Neodiprion lecontei: one gene and its partners. The protein of the gene in region 1 purifies or fractionates together with the protein of each later gene. This does not show direct contact. Links are inferred from orthologs where the notes say so. Each region holds a gene or a part of one and is shown in the gene's direction. Other genes may lie near its edges. The genes, in order: ATP-dependent RNA helicase DDX24, MKI67 FHA domain-interacting nucleolar phosphoprotein-like and KRR1 small subunit processome component homolog.

Evidence for each region.
Region 2: the proteins of ATP-dependent RNA helicase DDX24 (region 1) and MKI67 FHA domain-interacting nucleolar phosphoprotein-like purify together in Homo sapiens (affinity purification with mass spectrometry; 3 studies listed by BioGRID and IntAct, counting the BioPlex papers as one, with this or other methods). This does not show direct contact. The link is inferred for Neodiprion lecontei from reciprocal best matches to the Homo sapiens genes DDX24 and NIFK.
Region 3: the proteins of ATP-dependent RNA helicase DDX24 (region 1) and KRR1 small subunit processome component homolog purify together in Homo sapiens (affinity purification with mass spectrometry; 3 studies listed by BioGRID and IntAct, with this or other methods). This does not show direct contact. The link is inferred for Neodiprion lecontei from reciprocal best matches to the Homo sapiens genes DDX24 and KRR1.

What each region holds. Positions count from the first base shown.
Region 1 is NC_060262.1:18,438,522-18,445,171, reverse strand, and holds the start of ATP-dependent RNA helicase DDX24, read left to right. Parts: upstream 1-2,548; 5' UTR 2,549-2,626; coding exon 2,627-2,824; intron 2,825-3,223; coding exon 3,224-3,872; intron 3,873-5,177; coding exon 5,178-5,437; intron 5,438-5,507; coding exon 5,508-5,653; intron 5,654-5,788; coding exon 5,789-6,078; intron 6,079-6,150; coding exon 6,151-6,373; intron 6,374-6,465; coding exon 6,466-6,577; intron 6,578-6,650. Other genes in the region: GPN-loop GTPase 1, read right to left, coding at 2,331-2,409. UniProt on the Homo sapiens protein: ATP-dependent RNA helicase that plays a role in various aspects of RNA metabolism including pre-mRNA splicing and is thereby involved in different biological processes such as cell cycle regulation or innate immunity.
Region 2 is NC_060260.1:4,670,159-4,676,487, reverse strand, and holds MKI67 FHA domain-interacting nucleolar phosphoprotein-like, read left to right. Parts: upstream 1-3,274; 5' UTR 3,275-3,391; coding exon 3,392-3,478; intron 3,479-3,619; coding exon 3,620-3,811; intron 3,812-3,915; coding exon 3,916-4,024; intron 4,025-4,119; coding exon 4,120-5,018; 3' UTR 5,019-5,253; downstream 5,254-6,329. Other genes in the region: uncharacterized protein LOC107226332, read right to left, coding at 18-181, 312-465, 544-882, 963-1,179, 1,304-1,644, 1,722-2,031, 2,160-2,827.
Region 3 is NC_060262.1:40,402,817-40,408,449, reverse strand, and holds KRR1 small subunit processome component homolog, read left to right. Parts: upstream 1-3,103; 5' UTR 3,104-3,230; coding exon 3,231-4,262; 3' UTR 4,263-4,348; downstream 4,349-5,633. Other genes in the region: histone H2B, read left to right, coding at 1-368; trafficking protein particle complex subunit 12, read right to left, coding at 1,002-2,588. UniProt on the Homo sapiens protein: Part of the small subunit (SSU) processome, first precursor of the small eukaryotic ribosomal subunit.

The sequences.
Region 1 (6,650 bases):
CCTAATACGTACAAAAGGAGTTATTGTAAATATTGACGAGACTCGAAAGATACCGGTACGTCCTCAATCAAAAATTGTGTAACTCAGGCCTGGAAAGCTAAGAGTCCTCACTGAAATGTATAATATATCAGTGCTTTTATGTATTTTTAGGAAATTATCTATTAAGTCTCTACCTGTTATTTTCTTCGAATTCGACAAGCGTGTCAATTGGGAAACTGTTGTTCAACTCTAGATATAGGTATCTTATTCTAGGTGGTCTTCGGATACGCTATCTAGTGACCAAATTCAACATCTGACCGTGAGCGCGTAGCTCGAATTGCTAACAGCTGACTATGTATTTGTTTATGTGGAAATGTTAATATTATTTTTTAGTTTTTCGATTAATAATTAAGATTTAAAAAGTGAATAGTCGATCCAAGTCATTGTTTTGATTATGGAATTCCCTGCGCGAAAAAATAAAAGTAACGTGTATTGCTGTGTGTTTGATTGTCAATGTAAAGCTTATGGTGATGAAAAAATCAAGTTTTTCCATCTTCCACATCCCAATAAAGATTTCGTCGATAGAATCAACAACTTTGGTGATAAATACAAAAGCGATAGTCGCGTAGCTTGGACCAGTGTTGAGAATTGGAAAAAGTGTAATGACCAGTATAAGATCTTTTCACTCCATTTTAACAAAGACAATTTTTACCATCATGTAATAGCTGTTGGTTCGACTCATTCTTAACTTAAGAAAATAAGTGTTCCTTCTCAAAATATTCCTCCAGGATCAACTACAAAATATACTCGTCATGTAAATTCTAGAGAAGAAAGAATACGTAGGAGATCACTTATAAACAAGGTACTGACAGCTGAAGGTACTGAAGAATTGAGTCTTGATAAAAAAAAAAGGAGAGGACATTTTATTTCAATTATTTTTATAGATTTAAAATCATCGAATACAATAGCATCAGGTGAGCAACCGAGCTAAGGATTATTGTGTGCAATAATAAGACTGCATTCAACAACTTTGAACTGTGTGGAATTTTCATAAAGCTCACATGCTGTGGGTTCATTTTAAACCATGTCTAGTATAAGTATTACTTATCACAGTTGGATAAAAATACTTTAATGATTTGTACTACCAATCGAGTTCTTATTTTTACTATAAGTAAATAATCTATAGCTTGGATCACTTCCTGTAATTCTAAATTGTCTTTCTTTCTCCCAACAGAATAAAATTCAGTAGTTGAGCAACTCCATTTAATATTGTTCGACTATTTTCTTACAGCAGTTCTGAAGAGGATTAACATCAATTTTTTCTAGTTTATCGAGAAAGACTGAGGACTTTTGATTACTAAAAACAGCTAGAATTCTTCCTGAACAAATGATAGCACTATTGTTATTGCTTGAAACTTGGATATACTCATGTCTTGTAATTCTGTAAATAAAACAGAAAGAGAGAAAAGAATATTATAAAATAAAAACACAACATCATTGAAATTGTGAAATAATTTATTAATAATAATTTCATAATTAGATTTGACAAAAAAGCGTAATGTTTTTAAAAATCAATTTATGTAGCAGTTTAATACTCTTTCATAAAACATGATTATTTGTAAAACATGCAATCAGGCTTTGAAAAAATATGTAATGCAAATAATAGGAATTTGTAATAGTGATATATGTGTAAAAAAATCAGGTCAAAAATTGATGATAAAAATGTAAAAATAAAATGTCAGCGTAAAATTTACACGTGTAAAGCTAGAGCAAAAAATTGTACTTCTTGCTTTTCAGACAGCTGTAAATTTTCATTAAAATCCATCGATTCAGTGTTGTTAACATCTCCAGCTTAAATTTCTTTTGTTCCCTTATATTTTAAGCATGGAAATTTTTTTTTTCGCCGATAAAAGACACTCATGTTCATGTAATGGCTTGCCTTCTATTTTTCTAATGAAGATTCATGAAGCCAATCCATACACATTTTTTATGAGTGCAAGTAATCATTGGCAAGCTCTTCAAATCATTGCTGTAAAAATAAAAATCGATTTTAATAAATTAATTGTTGGAAAAATAAAATAACTGTTATAGGTTATGAATGTGACAAAATATCTTACCGGTTGCAATGGAGTAATACTGCGACGTGTTTACGAATGACCTGCCTTATAAGAAGAACTCATTCCAATTATTCGACCGTCGTTTATTATTTGACCAGTTATTTCATAGGGATTATTTTTAATATAATGAATAATTAATGTTTGTAAACAAAAAGCTAAAACACTTATAACATTGCAACCACTGATTGGTACTTGTCCACATTTTATCACGTGTCCAGCATTTAAAACCCTCACCTCCAATGAAGTTTTTATTGCTTGGCTTTGTGCAAGCAAATTCACAAATTTCTTGTAGACAAAATTTCATTTTATACATTAATTAAAATTACAAAAACAAAATCACCCGATACTGCGTTATGTACAGCATAACTTACTAACTCTAGTGCATATTTTCACCGCTTGGTTCAATTTTATAGTTAGGTAGTTAGGTTATATAATATAGTTATACTTCCCTGTCATCTGACTCGCTTCGAATTCAATGCTCGCACGTGTTCGTCGTGATATGCGCGTTTCTTTCCTCGCAAATCGAGGTTATGTTTAGTCGAAACAAACAAGCAATGGGGAAAATCAAAAAGGATAAATCTAAGACGTGGAAACCGTTAAAATTGGAGGGTGCCTTTTTTGCTGAAGGTATTGACGGCCTGATCGGAATTGAAGAATTGACGGATTACAGTCTCGAAAAAGGAACCAAAAAACGAAAAGCAACTCGCTCCGATGACAAATTAGACAAGGTAAATGGTTTCCTGCATATTGAAATAATTTTAAATATCTCTAATACTATACCTTTCACCGAACAATGGTCTCAATATTATGTACAAGCACACGAAATAAATATCAAGATAACTCTGGTACGATAGAGCAGCACTTCTTCTTTCGAGAGTTAAATCACTACCGATAACAGATGATACATATTAAGGATATTGAAGGGATTGAGAAATTTGTAAAACTTACAGTATCTGGACAATATTAACGAACTTTCGCAGTGCATGAAAGGAAAATCTGCTTACAGCATAGTTTTAGTTGATTGATTTATGACGTGTAGTCAGTAACATTACAGAGAATAACCAATAGCTCTGCCAATTTTCTTTAATATTAATAACAAGAAAATTGAATCATATTTAACAAACAAGGGTAACAAGAAGAAAAAGGCTCAGAAACTCGATGACCAGATTGACAATGACGAGGAAGACGAGCATTCAGCTCAAAAGAAAAAACTTAGAGCAGCTGTGAAAGGAGAGAAAGTGAAGCCGAAGAAGAAGAAGCAAAAATTCGACGATAAACGTGGTATAAAGCAATCTGATCTAATTGAAGAAGAGTCTGGTATTGGATCCGATAGCGAATCTAATTTGGATAAAAACGGGCATGAGGTTGACGCAGAGGATGGATGTCTGATCAATCTGGACAATCTAAAATCAGATATAAACGTACATTCATGGACTTCGCTGGGTGTACCTGAAATATTGGTAAAAGCATTGGCTGACCAAGGTTTTCAAGCTCCGACACCAATTCAGGCTCTGACCTTGGCTCCAGCAATTTTGGGAAGGAGAGATATTTTAGGTGCCGCTGAAACAGGAAGTGGAAAAACTTTGGCTTTTGGTTTACCAATTTTAAATGGTATTCTGGAGGCTCAGAGGAAAGAGGCAGATAAAGTGAATGAAAGCAATAATTCAACTGAAACAGGTGATCAGGACTGGAACAAATTAGGTGAATCAGAAAATGAAGATGACGAAGATATACTCTCTATGGATGAATTGTCAAATGAAGAATATTCAGATTCTGGTTTGTAATTATCTCTGATTGTCTATGTCAATAGAGTTATGCATTTTCATTGTTACAAAGTGTTTGACTTGAAATCGTTTGTATGCATTGACAAAATCAGTGAATCTAAGATCAATGGCTTATTTTGAAATGACGAGGAACTTGCTTGGATCGAGAAACTTCGTCGAATATCATACTTCAATTTTTCGAAATTGTTGCACATGTAGCAATAATGCCATTGGTTTATTGGCTACCCAGAATCAATTTCACTTGAATAACACGAGAGACATTTTTAAATAGAAATTAGGGACTATATATTCCAACTAGAAAACTGTTATTTGCGATGATTATTTCAACTCTCTTTTTGATTAAATAGAATATGCTCAAGCAGTATGCTAGAAATTATGTGGTATCACTAATTTTGTAAATGACTGCTAATGGTAATTGGCTGAAAATAATTTAATATGAATTACAATACTTTAATGTGTATATGACTAGATGGTTTAAACAGTCTATGATGCTTGGGTACTTTTGTTTTGACAACCAATTGTTCAATTTGATTGAGGTTTGTTTAATTCAAAAGTATGTAGATCGAACTTCATTTGCATATTTTTCTTTAAAATCAATTGTAGCAATGATAGTCTTATGTCAACCATTTTGCTTGGTGAATTGAAATACGATTTTTCATCCAATTCTTACAACTTTTTTATTTAACTAACACAAAAATGTGATTGTTAAAAAAATAAGTGGGATCATCGCAGAGAATAAACTATCCAGAAATACTGTCACTGAATTTACATAAATCGGTTCAGCTGTTTTTGAGGTACTGCGGGCACTGGAAGACATAAAAATACTTCCGATTCATTCTGTTAAACAAAAATACGTAAATAAAGCTTGATCTTCATACTTCTGAATAAATCAAACCCTAATCGAATTTAATAATTGGTTGCTATTCTCTTTTTCAGCCTTCTACTCCTATAAATACCCTTAAGGAATAAAAGTGAAGTTCTTTCTCAACAAAAATACGATGATGTCGAAATCATTGCAAGCTAGGAGTCCAAAGAGTTTTCTTTGGAGCATTAATTTTTAAACGAAAGATTCTGTTTATTACCTTAAAGAATTCTCGAGACATTAATTTGTAAAGTTTGAAGTGCACAATTGTACCTTAAATAGTTGAAAGAATAATACTACAATTATTTTGTTAAATGAGTAAATACCTTTTTTCTACTACCATGCAAAGAAACAATAAGCAGTTTGACAAATAGTACTTGGCTTTGGTGAGCATATATTTCACACCATGTATTTACAATATAACTTTTTTGTTAGAACACGACTATGTCATAAAAGAAAGTGAAGAGGATAATGAGGAAGAATCAGATTTTGAAGAAAGAGAAGAAATTGTTAGTGATGAACTGTTAAATGCGGAAGGTATCGGTTGTGTCAGAGCAATTGATAATATTATGATTAATGACTCGCGCGGCTCTCCAAAAAAGCCCCTGTACGCCTTAATTCTAACACCAACCAGAGAGTTGGCTATTCAAGTTAAAAACCATCTTGTCAAGGCTGCAAAATACACTGGGATCAGAGTAAGTTTTGGCAAAGAAATTGTAACAGGTAAATTTTTCCTTTCATACCTTACAAAGATTTCACTTCAAGATTGCTGTCGTCGTGGGAGGGATGGCTGCTGTTAAGCAGGAGAGAATTCTTAGCAAATCACCGGAAATAGTTGTTGCTACACCAGGTCGATTGTGGGAACTTATTCAAGAAGGCAACGCGCACCTTAATCAAGTTGATGATGTCAAGTAATGAAGTTTCCCCTTTGTTGCAAGCTCTATTGAACAAAACAATTTCTAGCTTCTATACTTAGAGTGATGAAGTATTTAACTTTTTTCTCCGATGAGAATCAATAACACGACCGTTTTTTTCTTTTGCTTCAGATTTCTGGCTATTGATGAGACAGATAGAATGGTGGAAAGAGGACACTTTCAAGAGTTACACAGTCTTCTCGAAAAAATAAACATGAACGGTGAAAAAATGAAAACGCGACAAACGTTCGTTTTCTCCGCGACACTGACCATGGTTCATGATATTCCGCAGCATTTGTCAAAGAAGAAAAATAAACACCGACATAAAATACAGAAATTCACACCCGAACAGAAGTTGAAAAAAGTTATTGAAATGATAGGCATTTCAAATCCTAAAGTTGTTGATGTTACTAAACAATCTGGTAAACTTTTGGTCGATTAATTTAATTGCATATTTCCCTTGACATTGTGATGGAACTTGTCATATTTTATAGGAACTGCTGCAAGTTTGACTGAATGTCGTATAGCATGTACAATTGATCATAAAGACTACTACCTTTATTATTTACTGAAAAGACATGCTGGTAGAACTTTGGTATTTTGTAACAGTATTGGTTGCGTCAGAAGGCTTGCGACTTTATTGGAGATTTTAGAATGCAATCCTTTACCGCTGCATGCTAGTATGCAACAACGGCAAAGGTTGAAGAACCTTGAAAGGTATACTCAAATTGTGCACACGGAATGGAGTACTGCATTTAACAGCTTTTTACCTGTCTATTGAAGCTTGATAAACATCAGCGTATCTTTAGATTCCAGGCAAATGAAAATGGTGTCTTAATAGCTACTGATGTCGCTGCCAGAGGTTTAGACATACCTAATGTAGAACATGTGATTCACTATCAAGTGCCAAGAACATCTGAGGTATCGTATTTTGCATTATCCATAATTTTGTATTATCCATAATTTTGTGTATTGCCTTTAACAAGCGATCATC
Region 2 (6,329 bases), on another chromosome or scaffold:
TTTGTCAATAACATTACTTTTAACGTGGTCTCAGCAATATTTCCAAAGAACAATTTGACAGTTCTAACAACAGCTTCTTGTTCTATAACGTTGTCACATCCGGATCCACCCAAAACTTCAGAAGCCAAGTCGACAACTAGTTGCGTTAAAGTTATCTTACTGTCCAGCTCATCAAGTTCTTCTGCAAAAATTAAAATATTATTATTGAAGTTATAGCTGCATTCAATTTAGAACTTCTCAAAGTAGTTACTGCTAATTGATGGAAATTAGATCTGTTCATCGCGTACAATGTTGGAGGTAGGATTACTGACCGTCGTATGGTGTGTTAAAAATTTCCCACCAATGAGCCAGCAGCTCTGAGTCACCGCTACCTTCGACCGATTCGACTGCTTCGTAAGCCGTGTCCACAGAACAGTAGTCCATTCTTTCCGCGACCAATTGCTGCAATTCTCGAGCTAAATTCTGCTGATTTTATAATAAAAGTTATTGGCAGTAGTGGAAATATATTATTGGATAGAACTTTGGAAGACACTTGAAACTCACAGATTTTAAGTCCTCAACAAACCGCCACGGAACATCAGCCAGTGACATTAATGTCGGCATCGGCATCACTTCTATTTCTGTATCCATTTCAAAACCAGGCACAACAGTTTTCAAAGTATTGAATACTCCGCTTACGGTTTTAGCCAAAAATCTATCTAGGCGTGGTGCCACTGTGTCCGCTTTTTTATTACTGCTGCTGCTTGGCCTCAAAAAGTGACGTAATTGTGGTGGATAATCGGCAGCTAAACGAGAGCAAACTAGTTTTAAATAATTTTCCATCTCCACACGTCCGCCTTCTGGTAAAGTTATGTTTGATATTGCAACCGCCAATGATGGAACCTGAAGTTAGATATTTGAATGCTTTTTACGTCTGTGTTTCAGCGATTATTAAGCATGGTTGTATGTCAGTTGATAATTACTTCTGCTAGACTAGCGTGAAGTTGTACAAAATCTGAGTACTGCCTCTTAACGGTGGCTGTAGTAGTTTCAAATAAGTGTGATCCATGCTGTTCTATGTCGTCAAACTGTATGCAGTACAGGAGCTGCTGAGAGCCATCGGGTGCCGTATGAAACTCTGTCCAAGGAATAGTTAAGTGGCTGCCTTCGTAAACTGTGCAAGACTTTTCCTCCAATTGTCTGCAATTAAATTTAGTAGAAGCTTCGGGATTATTTTTTTATTAGCTTCCAAATTAAGATTTTGCATGAACCTGGAGAAGCGGCCAGGTCTGAATTAAACTGGTTGAAAAAAATACACATTTACAATGGTGTTGAGGCGTTGGATTTTTGGTGCAAAAGACTTCGCAGTCTGGCGATAGTCGTTGCAAAATCAGTTGGTTCTTCATAAACCGGAGACAATCTGTCTTCCTCTGGTTCAGAATCAGGTTCAGATATTTCAACATTAGCCCACAATCCTCTGTGACTTATTTCTAAGCCCTCCAAACTCAGAGCAGCTTTCCTTTCCATTGTGCTTTGTGCATTCTGATTGTTATCTTTGAAATCTGGTGAAATATCAGCACCTTGACCAGCTTTAGGTAAGGGACGCGATATCGCTGCAGCTGTTGTGGAACGTATGGCATCACTGAGTGCCGTAGACACAACACTCTGAAAAGATTCGACTTTGATGAGTATGATTTGGATTAAAGGAGATCCCCAAATAAATAGAAAGAAGGTATTACCACCTCGCTAGCCGAAGCACATTTCTCATTTTTTACTGGTTCTGAGCTAATCGCTCTTACAATTTCTTCTAAAATCCACTCTGGCGAACTTATGCTTTCTATTCCTGTGAGCAATTTTTTAGCCAGTATTGAAAATAAGAGTTTACAAGGTAACGAACTAGTCAATTCCCATTGTAAAAATTCTCTTGCCAATACAGTGACCACTCGATGAAGACTGTGCTCTAACGCCGCTAGGCTTCGCGAACCCGGATGAACATAGCGATAGGCTTCTTCGATGTCTAGTGCAGTTCCCTTCTCAACACGACGCAGCGCTCTGATGAAAGGAATAACAACATTGCAGTAAATCGTTAGTTTCCTAAGTGAGACTGCAATGAAAACGAAGCTAGGTGAATCAGTAATTGCAGTGCATAATTATACAATGTTTAACATGTGGATCATTACCTACGATATTCCTTCAAATGCAACAAGAATATATTGCCAATTTTTCTAGCCAATTCAATTCGATCAATTCGTATCAATTGATGATTGAATTTAAGAATCAGATTTTCGAGCAACTGTTTGGACTCGTTAGGAAAAGCATCGTCATTGCTCACATTTCTGTACCAAATTTTAACAAAGTTCGCATCAATATCGTTTATAACTTTTTCCACATTTATTTTTTCCACAAAAGTTACAGGCAGGTCCTGTTCTAAAACAGATCCATCATCTAAATTTCCATCAGCCCTCAGGTCTCTGAGAAGATTATTTATCTCTGTGTTTTGTCTGTCTATCTGATTTTCGTCCTTCGTTTCTTCATCGTTATCGACACTTTTAACTACCGGTTTTTGTGGCTGATGACTACTACCTGTTTGGTCGTTTTTCATCCATCCCTGAGCCCATTTGTTGAAAGGTTCAGTGGTCAAAGGTGCGTTGACTTTGAGCATTAATCTCAATACGAAACAGCTTAGCCATATCGATATAGTGATCACAAAAATTGCCCAAGATATTAAAAAATGAAGCGGCACAGTAAGATGAGCGACGTGTGTTTGAATCGTCATGCAAATTGTAACAGAGAAAAGACTGATCAATAAAATACGATTTGACCAGCTTATCGAGAATACTTTCTCCATATTTATTTTCGTTAGTTAACCACTTTCTGCTTCAATTGTTTCTACAGATAAGTATCATTTTTGGTGTTGCGTGTTGCACCTCGTGTTACTTTGAAGTCTTTGATATATTTCACAATCTTTTTCTCTAAATATAAAAAAATGTCGTCCAACTTTCGTTCAGGTCGTTGCAACAACGATGAATATTCTTCTCTGTCATTCCTGCCATAACGTCTATATTTTCACGCGTATAATGACACATGATTAACGAACCTCATCGATGATTACTGATCTTATCTCTTGTGCTCACGTTGACAGTAGTTGACAGTTGTGTGACAGGAGCCGACGGATCTCGCAATTTTTTTACTACAGTGTGTTCCGGAATACATTGAAAAAAGCGGCAATCACGCGTCGCGGCGACCTCTGGTGGATATTCAGTGAACCTTTTGTCGCTACCGTAGTGACTCTAAAGTTTAATTCCGCAAATCCCGCCACCGTTACGCATCAGCTAATTTTCTTCAATTTTTTCCACACGATAATCGAATAAATAGAATTCAAAGTGGAGTAATTTTTTTTTGAAAAAACAATATGAAGATAGCAAAACAAGCTGCAGATCAATCGGATCAATCGACACTCAGCAAAGCCGTTAAAAATGTGAAGCAAAAACTTTTAACGGTATGTTTCGAATGTATCCAAACACGTGTTTAACATAACCTATAAATCTGTTGCGCATTCGGCAACTTATCCAGTCCAATCAAGTCTGCTATTTCGGTCAGCCGATAGTTGAAACTGACACTCGACGATTTGTCATTTCAGAAACCTAAAAAACCCGAAGCTATAATTCCTATCGAGAACAGCGATGTTCCATCGTCAACTGAATCAGTTTCGCTTAATAGAGGGATTGTTTATCTTGGGCACATTCCTCATGGGTTCTTCGAAGAACAAATGATTAGCTATTTCAAGCAATTTGGGAAGGTTACCAGAGCTAGAGTGGTTAGATCTGTAAAGGTAGATATCTGGGAGCCTCGTTTTCAACGATCTTATTCTTTCAGTATATAACCAAACAACATTGAAGTTGCAAACACGTATTTTCATTCATTTCCATCTTGTAGACCGGTAGAAGCTGTGGTTATGGGTACATAGAATTCATGCACAGCGAAGTGGCAAAAATTGCTGCACAGTCTATGAACAACTACCTGATGTCTGGAAGACTGCTAAAAGGTAGATTAGTTTTGATAGGAAAATTCAAGTTCATTTTATAAGCAGTAAAGTATCGACGTTTTCTTAACTGTTGTTATTCCGTAAAATGTTTTCAGCGACGTACATTCCGCCTGAGAAACAGCATGGGCGTTATTTCGCAGGGCGTCCATGGAGTAAGCAACAATTTCCTCGATCAGTGAAAAGAAAGGAACAGAATATGCGAAAAAACCAAAATGTGGATAATAGTGTTGACAGTATGCTGGCTCAGCGGAAAATGAAAAAAATTTCTGTTATGGAGAAAAAACTTGAGCAGGCAGGAATTTTCTATAAGATTAAACCCGTTGAAGTACCCGAAGACACGCAAGTTAAAAAGAGAAAAAGCTCTGCCTCTCGACCAGCTTCAACAGGAACGAAAAAGATAAAAACTTCCAATGGTACGGTAGCGAGTGAAATTGACGCTGAAGATGGTTCTTTACAAAAAGTGGAGAAAAAAGCAGTTGTCAAGGAACCTGCGATTAACAAGACGAAGAAAAAGAACAAGTCAGAATTGAAACCGGCTGACGAGGTTGCCGTAGCTATCAAGGCTAGTATTTTAGCAGTTCCAAAACCGAAGAAGAAAATTTCTACATGCACAGTTCAAGTACCCGAAATAAGCTTGCCAAAAAAATCTAAGAAGAAAATGGCAGCTGATTCCGTTCCTATTAAGAAGAAGAAAGAAGCAGTGTTAACTGAATTACTTGTAGGTAAAAAATTGAAGGGAAAAATTGAGTCGATTGATCATCCGCCTACTGCTAAGAAGCTGAAACAGCAAGTGGAAGTGATTGATCATCCACCAACTGTTAAAAAGACAAAACAGAAAGTACAAAAGAATATCCCTGCTGCAGTGCCGCTCATTGAAAAGTCGGGACAAAAGAAAATTTCTTTCCTAGTACCAACGGTTAAAAAATCCAAAAAACAAATAGCAGCTCAAGTATCGCTGAGCAAGAAAGGGAAAAAGAAAGGTGCAGCGGCATAAATGATGATGCATCGAACTAAGCTGGATTTAATTGTAATTGAGTTTTTCAGCAATTGTGACGGATCGAGTTTTGGTTTACTTTATGTTTCGTGAAAATGATCGATTAGATCAATGGAACTTTTACCTCATATACGATTTTAGAAATCGTAAATAATTTTTCCTACGATCCTTGGAATGGATTGTACATACAGCTCATGTATTTCATCACAGCGTTTAATAAACGAAGTATGCGTAATCTGTGATTTTGCGAAAGAATTATTTTATACAAACGTTCTGCACAGAACGTTGAATAAATCTTAGTTAAAGATAACAAATAGGGCCTGGATTAATATGTAAATATATATTTTGTTTATTTAAATCAATTTTATTCCTTATTTCGTTTTTTACATAAAGTATGGAGTTTGGTGCTAAAAAATACAGTTTATATGTTCCATATTTTAGTTTGTCAAGTATATTATATAATTATATTTTGAAAATTTTAATACATATTTATCACGGCCCTGATAATAAATCTTTTAGAAATATTTCAAGAATTTATTTTATGCTCCGGAAATCGATAAACCTTTGATATTGTCGATAAATTTATTCGCTTTACTGTAAACTAGCGAATAATATTTACAATTTAGTTATTTCTTCTAATTAAAAACAAATTTTATATAAATACGTAATGTATTGTATATTTTATTATATATCCACTCCGCTGGTCAGAATTAATCATAATTTTTTTCCGCGGTTCTGAGATAAGGGGCACCCTTTCGTTCGTTTCCATTTCATACGTCTGTTTTGAAACCAAACTTTGACCTGAAAAAAATGGATGAGAGTTGAATAACCCTATCATTCAATGTCGCGTGAACAGTTATTAACTGCACCTTGTTTAATAATTTTTGTGAATTATTCAAACATGGCTCGAGGCTTTATTCAATCATTCATTCGAAGTGATTTACATAAATCGTATGAATTAGTTGAATAATTATGAAAATAAACGTTAACAAAGAATTACCTGCCGCTCCGTTAAATCTAAAGCCACGGCAATTTCGTATCTCCGAAGTCGGGTGAGATAATTCATGTGCGCGAATTCGTACTCCAAGTGACGAACTTGTTGTTTAGTAAATGCTGTTCTTTCCTTGCGTGGTTTTTCCGTCGCGGTTCCGCTCAGCCTTTTACTTGCCTCTGAAATAATTGAAAGAGTTTATTTATCTTCATCGAATAAAATATAGGGATTATGCTCTGGATATTTGTCACGAAGTAAATTTGTAGAAGCTGGTGTTAAGTTCGATACACTCGAAAGAAAAAGACGAAGATAAATGGGAA
Region 3 (5,633 bases), about 22 Mb from region 1:
CACCGAAGACTAGCGGAAAAGCAGCCAAGAAGGCCGGTAAGGCCCAGAAGAATATTACGAAGGGAGATAAGAAGAAGAAGCGCAGGAGGAAGGAGAGTTACGCAATCTACATCTACAAAGTCTTGAAGCAGGTTCACCCAGACACTGGAATTTCCAGCAAGGCAATGAGCATCATGAACAGCTTTGTCAACGACATTTTTGAACGCATCGCTGCTGAATCTTCACGTCTTGCTCATTACAACAAACGATCTACCATCACGTCTCGGGAGATCCAAACTGCGGTGAGGCTTCTTCTGCCTGGTGAACTTGCCAAGCATGCTGTTTCTGAAGGAACCAAGGCTGTTACCAAATACACCAGCTCTAAGTGAGCGGCTTCTTCAACAACCATCGGCCCTTTTCAGGGCCACAAAACATTTCACCATGAAAGAACGATTCTATTCTAATCGAAGCATTATACAATAAGTGAAATATACATATAAATACGGTTCCCTTTTGTCGTACAGATTGCAGCAAAACAATGCATGTATCTTACTCATTAAACTTGAAAAAATAAACCAACATTATGACAAAGGAGCCAAAAACTTGAAGGTATCAACCGTTGTGGATATCGTAGTCCTTTAGTAGTGTGGTTTGAAGTCACACAAAACATAAACGGAATATTGGTATCCAAAATCTAAAAAAAAAAATTTTTTAATGGTGAGGATATTGTGGGTGTGGATGATAATTTGATGCTTTTCGAAGTAATAATACTCCTTGTCCATTAATTTATGAATAATGCTAGGTAGATTTATGAACTCAAATTTAATGTTTGAATATCACTTCCAATCGAATAACATTGACACAGTGATAACACCATTGCACTGATTCTCCATAACAATTTCTACAATAAACTTCAAGTAATCATTAACTAAAATATTAACAATAAATAGAAAAACTGAATAAGGTTGTTCAATTACAGGGTCTTACTCTAACGTAATCAAGAATTATTAAATTAGCAACTTCTAAAGCGATAGTTTTAAACATTGCACCGCAATGGCATCTCCTTTGTATCGATTTAATTGTCTCAATAAATGTAGTTTGGGCTGTGTACTATGAGTCGTGTGTAATTCATACAAGGTACAAATATTCAGCAACAACGCTTCCTGTAGTCCTTTAGTTGGGTTTCTGACTAGTGCACTTTCTAATAAATGTACAGCAGCTTGAAGTTGCCCATTGTAAAGTAAGCATACAGCCATATTATTTACTAGCATAATATTAGACGGTTCTAGGACTGAGGCTTTTTTAAAACAATTGTAGGCTTCTTGAAATGCGTTTTGAGCTACAGCCATCAGGCCTCTGTCTGTTAATTCCTTGGAGTTTGAGGGATTTTGAAAGCTTTCTCTGCCATCAGCGAACTGCTTCTCTGCTGCTGATACATCGCCGAGTAAAAGTAGAACCCTACTAATTGCTGATTTTAGTATTTGCCTCTGCTCTGGATTCCAATCTGTGCCTTCACTCAAGCTCTCCAAAATATCAACGGCTAAAATGTAGTTCTTTAGAGTCAAAGCACAGTTGACAACGGAAATTAGTACTCTAGACTCTCTGCCGACCCATAATCTGATTGCGTCATCTCTTTCCGTCGGTGTGAATTTGAGGCGTCCTCCATCCTCCCCGAATCCCTTTTTCAAGTTTTTTATAATTTGTTTTACAGTAGATAAAACCTTATGCAGGTTGTCCAGAGCGACTCTCGGTTTGTTGCAATAGGCAGGTATCTCAGCTAGAAGCAGCCTGAAGGCAAAACAGGCCATGGATCCAGGTCTGGTTCCATAAAGTTCTGGATAAAATGTGAAAAACATATCAGGCTTATCTAAATTCCCAAAGGGCTTAGACTCGTTTTCAAGAACTTCGACGTGCTTCAATTTTGCCAAAAGTGCGAGTCTTGTAAACCACAATTGGAGAGAGTGTGGAGTGTGTTTGCTGGGATGATTAATCTTCCCATATCCCTGTCCATAAATTGCTAGCAGTCTGCCAGTAAGATTAATCGCCGCTCGGTAACATCCTGTCTGAATCAAATTCCTCAGACCACGTTCGTCCTGCGTTACATCAGAAGCTGTGAGAACGTTGCGATGAATGTTTTCTTCTTCTCCCAGAAAGTGAATCGCAGCCTCCTTAGTCGTATCGGTCAAATCTCCCTGCAACGTCAGTCCGGGCATCGTCAGATTTTCTCTATCAGGAAAATTACTTCCAGGCGTCGACGTTGCTATCGAGGCTAATACTTTTTTGGTTTGATCCGAGGGGATCCAAGCATCTCTATGAATGTCGCTGGCCGTGACATGGTCGGAGACTTGTTCCGCAGCATCTGACAAACTGTTTTCAAGGAAGCTGTTTGACGGGTCTGTCAAGAAGGAGTCAAATACTGGGCGAGGACTCGCAGATGCCGAAGGTTGTTCCAGCATGTCTTGTTTTTCCGGTGGGACAATTTCATCGAATATCGTGTGAGTCGTATTGCTGAAGTAACGCCCGAGCCCAGTATCACCAGATGGTTTTGAGTCGTCAGACAATCCTGCGATATTGTCGCTCAGTTGAAATAGCGAACTTTTATCGGCCATTGCTTGCCACGCTCAAACACAACGTCAATTCTTCAATAATTACTGACTTACAATATCGTGATCACATATTATTTTACTTTTGGTTAGTAGGCTTAAGCTTGAGCACTAGGTTAGTAGTTGAAAGTTAACCTTCACACGACTAGAATGATCACAATCAGCTGTCACTTGTGACTTTACGAGCATGGCTAAATTACTTCAAGTAGTTTTCTAGAGGGTAGACTCTGCGACTAATTTTCAAATTGGATGCCGCAGGTTCGCGACATCGATTTTTCCTCATCATGTTGAAAGTGAATATATAAATATAGATAACTAAAAATAAAAATATCACAAGTGTCGATACAACGGCCGTTAGGTCAAATCTGAAATTGTAAACGCTCATTAGCATAAATAAAACTTGACTTACCGATATGTCGATATTGTGTCGGATGCAAGATGGCGGACTTGCAGCAGAGCGCTGCTATTCGATATTCTGAAGTTCACGAACCTTCGGTCAAATCGTTGACTGCTCACTCACCGTCACTCACTCTACTCACTGCTGCCACAGAAATTTCATCAACATAACCTGAAAGCGCGTAGCCTAAACCCACGTGCGAACTGGTTCCGAAGACATTGCGATATAAATAAATAAATAAATTTAAGAAAATGAGTGATTCTGAAAAGGAGGATGACCGGCCAGTAAATACAGACCCTGTAGACAATGCGTGGGACCTCAAGGTTCCTGCATTCAAGCCGGAACACAACCCACACCGTTTACTAGAGGAAAGTTCGTTCGCAACGTTGTTTCCAAAGTACAGAGAAAAATATTTGAAACAGTGTTGGCCGCTGGTGCAGAAGTCGTTACAGGAACAGGGTATCAAGGCTGAATTAGATCTGATTGAAGGTAGCATGACGGTGAAGACGACACGAACAACTTGGGATCCCTACATAATTATCAAGGCCCGGGACATGATTAAACTGATGTCTAGGTCTGTGCCATACGAACAGGCAGTCAAAGTTCTACAGGACGACATCGGTGCTGATATTATTAAAATATCGTCCTTGGTCAGGAACAAGGAGAAGTTTGTCAAACGAAGACAGCGGCTAATCGGACCCAACGGCTGCACACTGAAGTCAATCGAGCTGTTAACTAAGTGCTATGTTTTGGTTCAAGGGCAAACCGTAGCTGCTCTTGGGCCCTACAAGGGACTGCAGCAGGTGCGACGAATCTGCGAAGATACAATGAAGAACGTGCATCCGATTTACAATATCAAGGCGTTGATGATAAAGCGAGAACTGGCCAAGGATCCTAAGCTGAAAAACGAAAATTGGGAGAGATTTTTACCAAAGTTTAACAGCAAAAATGTTAGCAAAAGAAAACAGCCAAAGAATAAAAAGGCTAAGAAGGAATACACACCGTTTCCTCCGCCGCAGCAAGAAAGTAAAATCGATAAACAGTTGGCATCTGGAGAATTCTTCCTTAAAGAGGAACAGAAACAGGCTAAGAAACGTAAGGAACAGGAGACCAGGCATGAGGAGGCTGCCAAAAAGAGAGTCGAAAGAAGAGCTCAGGCCTTTGTTGCTCCTGAGGAAAATGTTGCAACGAAAAATGTTAGCAAGAAAGGAGATATCAACATCGAGGAGTTTAAGAGAAAAGTTAAAAAAGGTTTTAAAAAACGTAGCGCTGCTCCTTCCTAAACTGTGTATATACTTTTATCATACTAAACTTACAACTTGTGGTACGTTTATTTTTTATAAGATTAAGCCGGGTTGTATTAAAAAAATTTTGTAAATAAATTAACGTAAAGTTTTTGGAAAAAAATCCTTGTTTTTATTAAAAAAAATTTCTCCTATAATCGTTTAGCATACTTTTTTTTGTTCACTTTGTTTCATCTTAATTTACATTCATTTCATTATTATACAATACAAAGTGTGGAATACATGAAACACTAGCGTATGATTTTTTAGCCGGTAGAACTTTATAATTGAATGATAATCCCGACAATTTGATGAGTACGTAGGTTTAAAAAGTTTTTTTTTTTTTTGTTATACAAAGTTCATTTGAAGTACGCCAAATTTTTTTCATTATTGTCAATCTCTAAGTATCGCCGCTCGTTTTTTTTTGTTTCTTTTTTTATTACTACTTCGACCATTTCTCTGTCATTGTGTCATTTTACTCGTACAGGTGTTATTCTTCATTTATAATCCATCCATATTCGTTATTCACAGAAATCAAGTGGTGGGTCTATTTAAATGGACTGGTTACATACACATTATCATTGACTGTTAACTTCCTATGTAACTGAATAATCAATTAATTTATGTCACATTTTATCTTACAGCCTAAAATTGCGGAAGTACGACGTTTTTATATCATTTATATTTAGATAATTAATAATAATATAACTATTATTTACAGTACGTATTTATGATATTCATTATACGTATAACTTAGTAAGTTTATTGTGTAGTCTGCAGTATATTCGCAGACGAAAACGACCAGATTTAACGAAAGCCTTCATTTTAATTACCGGGGACATCAGAAACGGATTGAAGATCGATACCGTCTTACCTACTATAACGCAAGTATAATAGGCATTTTTCGGCGAATACAGTGGTATAAACCAGTGGTATAAATCGTCGTTGCTTCTGGTATGGGCGGAGCTTAACTCTGGTCAAGTATAACGGCACACTAAAACGCTCTGGTTCGTTTTGTTCGTAGTTAAAGGCGCGAAATATTGGGAAGAAGACTCAAGTGTAGAAAACGCGTTTGGTACCTTTTGGTACACTTTGGTTGCTATACCAGTGCTCGCCAAAAAGTGCCTAATATTGTATTATGTTATAATATGTTATATATAATAAATTTCTTATATCCTACGTGCTTGAACCAATCTTATCGTAAAATTTTTTGACATGATTGGTATCCCGACTGTATTTTCCATCAGTTTAATGACAATCTAATGCAGAAGTGATAGGTTCATGATGCAAAAGCTTACGTACACTTATACCAGCACTGCTGTTAATACGTAACAGCAAGGAACAAGCTAGGAGTTATTACAAAAGAATACT